2 linked regions of the Kluyveromyces lactis genome follow. The protein of the gene in region 1 binds, or shares a complex with, the protein of each later gene. Links are inferred from orthologs where the notes say so. Each region holds a gene or a part of one and is shown on either strand. Other genes may lie near its edges.

The links.
Region 2: DAD2 (region 1) and DAD4 share a complex: the UniProt entries of both Saccharomyces cerevisiae proteins name them as parts of the DASH complex. The link is inferred for Kluyveromyces lactis from reciprocal best matches to the Saccharomyces cerevisiae genes DAD2 and DAD4.

What each region holds. Positions count from the first base shown.
Region 1 is NC_006037.1:700,763-702,961, reverse strand, and holds DAD2 (Dad2p), read right to left. Parts: upstream 917-2,199; coding exon 518-916; downstream 1-517. Other genes in the region: NUP133 (Nup133p), read left to right, coding at 1-429; SGO1 (Sgo1p), read left to right, coding at 1,453-2,199. UniProt on the Saccharomyces cerevisiae protein: Component of the DASH complex that connects microtubules with kinetochores and couples microtubule depolymerisation to chromosome movement; it is involved in retrieving kinetochores to the spindle poles before their re-orientation on the spindle in early mitosis and allows microtubule depolymerization to pull chromosomes apart and resist detachment during anaphase.
Region 2 is NC_006039.1:1,465,673-1,468,012, forward strand, and holds DAD4 (Dad4p), read right to left. Parts: upstream 756-2,340; coding exon 537-755; downstream 1-536. Other genes in the region: snoRNP complex protein NOP10, read left to right, coding at 142-315; oxysterol-binding protein related protein OSH3, read left to right, coding at 1,311-2,340. UniProt on the Saccharomyces cerevisiae protein: Component of the DASH complex that connects microtubules with kinetochores and couples microtubule depolymerisation to chromosome movement; it is involved in retrieving kinetochores to the spindle poles before their re-orientation on the spindle in early mitosis and allows microtubule depolymerization to pull chromosomes apart and resist detachment during anaphase.

The DNA.
Region 1 (2,199 bases):
GATACTTCTTATGGATTTGCATTGAGTATCCTTGCCATTGATCACACGTTACCCACTGAAGTAAAAAAGTACTGCGAGTACCAGATCTGGAGAAGGTGTCTCTTATCCGATGAAAATGCGGTTAGACAAACTTTAAGGGTCTTTTTCAAGCAGCAGTTCTACCATCAAAGTATCGAACTTCCAATCATCGACAACTTGGCCAATGAGAAATTGATCACTGACTCATACCTGGATGGCATGTACCATGGACTAACCGATCTTAATAAATTAGCTAGCGACGTCAAACGAGAGGTTGCTCTTTTCGCTAATTCGAATTTGGACGTTACGATGTTACAATCCATCATTGGAGAAATCAACGAGGAAACCGGTAACCAATGTGTCATCAATTACGCAACTAACACAATCGAGACAAGTCCCACATCTTTCTAATTCAATAATAGAAGAAGGTGCCACACCAATTAATTGTACATAGTATAAAACCTGTTTATACACCATATGTATATATTCAATAAAAACGTTATTCAACGTCATCTGCAACTTTCACCCGTACCAAAGTTTCCGGAAGCGGAGGTAATTGATCCTGTTGCCGCTGCTGGTTATCTTCTGAACTTTCTGACGCAGCACTTTCATCTTCAGCGCCCTGTTGGTTTCTATGTTCCTCTTTACTGGCCCATTTCCCAGTCTCATAGTCGTTTTCTGTATACTGAAGTAAAGATATCGAAGCCTGAGAGATAGACCGAAGAACCGAGTCCCAATTAGCCATTACGTCTTTAACAGTCACAGCATTGCTATTCATCTGCGCTACCTGAACGCTCAGCTCGTCCAATTGAGCCTTTAATTTCTGTGTCAATGCAGAAACATGCTTCAAATAATTCAATTCTCTTCTCTTAGTCTCGATCTCGGTTTCAAATGCCATACTGACAACTTTTTTTCAGGTGACCCAAACCTCTTACTCTTCAGCTAGAATATATCATCCAACTCGCTCCGAGAAGTGTCTATCTTAGCTGATAATTCTTGGTTCTTCTAGTCTTTGAAAGAATTCACATTGTAGAGATTAGTTCAAAGTCGTGATTTCATATTATTCCGATATTGAAATAAAGGAAGAAAACTCGAGAAAACCGACTTGTATCAGGGGAGATTGATCTATACAAGCTACGCTAAGCATTAACACCGCTATTTAGAATGAACGAAGGGTTGGATAACATCAAATTGCCCATTACATGTCCAACTTACCTCATTTGAATTAAATGTAGTACTAAATATGATCCGGGTAATCTTGTTTTTTTGTGTTTACATCGTAGAACAAAACGTAAACAATGAAAACATTCAAAGCTTTAGATCTCATTCAGCGTTTAAATAACCTGTTCATTGACTGAAAGAAGAGCGATTCCTAAGTCTATAGGGACCCGAATTGACGGCGGATAGTGTTACTAAGTTTTGTGAGAGTGCAACATGAGCGCTTCTTCGCAGTACGATGAATTTCAAGCTATGCTTGAGCAACAAAAGGGAATTTATTTACAGCAGAACAGTCAGCTTGCGAAATATAATTCCAGTCTTATGATGAAAATCACTGATATGGAGACTAAAGTGAGTGAATTGGTGCAAGAGAATGTTTCCTTACGGTCGCGGCTTTCTATGGGTGAATTGCGCTATCGTGAGAAGCTCAATACTGTTTTCCAGACGTTAGAGGACGGAATTGTAGAAAAATTCTTGCAAATGAACCAATTGTTGACCACAGTACGGGAGAGCCAGGGTTTAGAATCAGGTATTCATGATAACCCTCTTAAACCGATTTTGAGAGGCTCGAATGGTATAAGCCCGAGATCTGCGAAGAAAGTGGAGTTTACTGGTGCAAATACCACAACGAAACCAGTTGGGTTTGAGGATCCAATTGCGGAAGATAACCATGAAAATAGCGGGAATAGTCTCGAGCTGAATGATGATGAGGTACGACCTCTGAGAAAGAGGAGGCGTAAGAGTTCACGGAGAGAGTCGTTGTTCATTCCTGCAGATTTCGAGTTTAACGATGAGGACCCGGAACTAGAACTGAATCAACTGCCGATAACTGAGGATGAACCGCCGCCTAGTACTGCAGCCACCTCAGTACCTGAGGAAGAGTCTCAGGAGAACAAGCATACAAAAGAAGAGCGTGAAGACGAGGGAAAAGAGAATGTCTCTACGATACCTTTGGTACCGGTC
Region 2 (2,340 bases), on another chromosome or scaffold:
ATATAATCAGTTTTTCAACATAGCATTAACTAACTGATCGGTATAGCTCATCGCTTGAAAGAAAGTGTCTTGTTATCCATATATCTAGTTCCTTTTCACTTCCAACCAAAAGCATCTATCACACTCTACCCACTACCCACTATGCATTTGATGTACACTTTGGATGCCCAAGGCAAGAGAATCTATACTTTGAAGAAGATGACTGAGGATAATGAAATTACAAAGTCTGCTCACCCTGCTAGATTCTCTCCAGATGACAAATACTCCAGACAAAGAGTTACTTTGAAGAAGAGATACAACCTTTTGCCAAACTAAGGTCCCTACAAGTTGGAACACAATCCGCAGACAAAATTGCACCGGTTAAAACTCACTGAACATGAACAAAAAAAATTAATCCATTATTATCTGTAAATTAGAATCAGTACGGTCCTGAAACCGACTATAAAAAGGCGTATGTATATACGTACATACTACATCACTTAAGTAACTGCTTTTTTTTTTTAATAAATTCTTCTCGTTAGAATATATGTGAGACCTTACAATGGGTCCTGTTTCTTGGAAGTTGCCTGCAACTGGAAATCAACAGATTCTCTATAGTTCTCACACATTTGTGACATCAGTTCCAAATTCTTATTCTTGGTGTTTACCCTTCGAAGCTCTTGGTTTAGTATCACTACACTCTGGTTCAACCTTTCGACATTGCCAATGATTCTAGCCAGAATATTGCTTTGAACTTTCTCATACGGGTTTTCCATGGTATGTATCACAAATATAACTGATGACGGATAGTTATACACCAGTTTTGTAGCCTCTAGTGCCTGTGTTTTCCTTGTGGTTTACATTTTTGACCGATGTTTTGCATTTGAATACATGTTGGATGCTATTATAAACCTTTTTTTTTTTTTTTTTAAATGATGAAAATTAGTACCTGCCCCAAAGCAGCTTCTCAGTGAAAATGAATTAAAAAAAAGCTTGAGTATAATAAACTAAACCTTTAATTTGAAGTAAACAAGGATCCAAATTTCATCTATAACAGACTTCTAGTGTGCGTTTCGAGCTTTTGGCGGGCATCATATATCAATTTGGTGATAATTGCTGGTAACGGATATTGTCAGTTAAATTTCACCTGTGAATAATTACCATTCTTACTGCGTGCCTATCAGGTGTTTGTTGATCTTTTCCCCTGGTTAATCTCTCTTATTCAGAATTGATTTTTCAGCGAATAACCGACCGATAAAGGTAGATTGGAACGTCTACTTAGTTTCGAGAGTGATTCAATTGTAACTATTAAATTTTTTTCGGCATCAAACATGGATACTATTGACGTTCAAAATAAATCATTTGTTGTGCGTTGGCAGAAAGTTTCTCAAGGTGATATAGTTTCGTTTCGGTTGAAACCTTTGAAAAAATCGATAGGGTTTGGTATATACAGACGGTTTGGTGGATCATCCACGACTGATTTGAGTGAAACAAACCATGGGAGTGTAAAAGCTTCTTCGAATAGTAATACTAATCCGTTAATTCGAATTTCAACCGATGCCAAGCCTAACGTTGCCTTGGCAGATCACGAAAAGGACAAAAACGTGCCGTTGCAAACAAGGTTAGCACAAAGCGGTCTGGAAAAGGTGACCTGGTATGGGACCATTTCTAACAACGATACCGTTGCCGAATCGTTCGAATCAACTTGTGAGAGTTGTTATTACGCGTTCATTTTAGACAATACTACTTCGAAGCAGACTAAGAAAAAATGTTTATTTTCGGTGAGTATCAACCCTAGTGCATCGGCAATGGAAGGTTTGGATGACGATCAGGAATCCGTCATTTCAAACCAAGAGGAAAGCTTTGGTGCCAATGGGACGAATGGCAAGCGACCTTTGAATTATAGCCAAACGTCATTCAAGGATCCATCTTTGTCCTCATTAGCAAAATCGAATTCCAATCCATTTGCGCCATCTCCAGGCCAGACTACTCCAAGCACAATTTCCAACGTGGGTACATCTAACGGACCAAACACTAATTCTCCAGTGCCAATAAAACCACTGAGTCCAAGTTCTACATCCGCGACAGATCACGATTTGAAAAACAGTAAAGGATTCCAAGGATATTTACTAAAAAAGAAGAGAAAGAAGCTACAAGGTTTTACCAAACGGTTCTTTAAACTCGATATAAAATTTGGGATTCTCTCATATTATCTCAACTCTAAATCTCCTGTGTGTCGTGGTGAGATTGTTGTCCCACTTTCATCAATAAGTGCAAATAAGCAAACTAAACTTATTATCATTGACTCAGGCATGGAGATCTGGGTCATGAAAGCTCGTGACGAAAAAGATTGGGAACTTT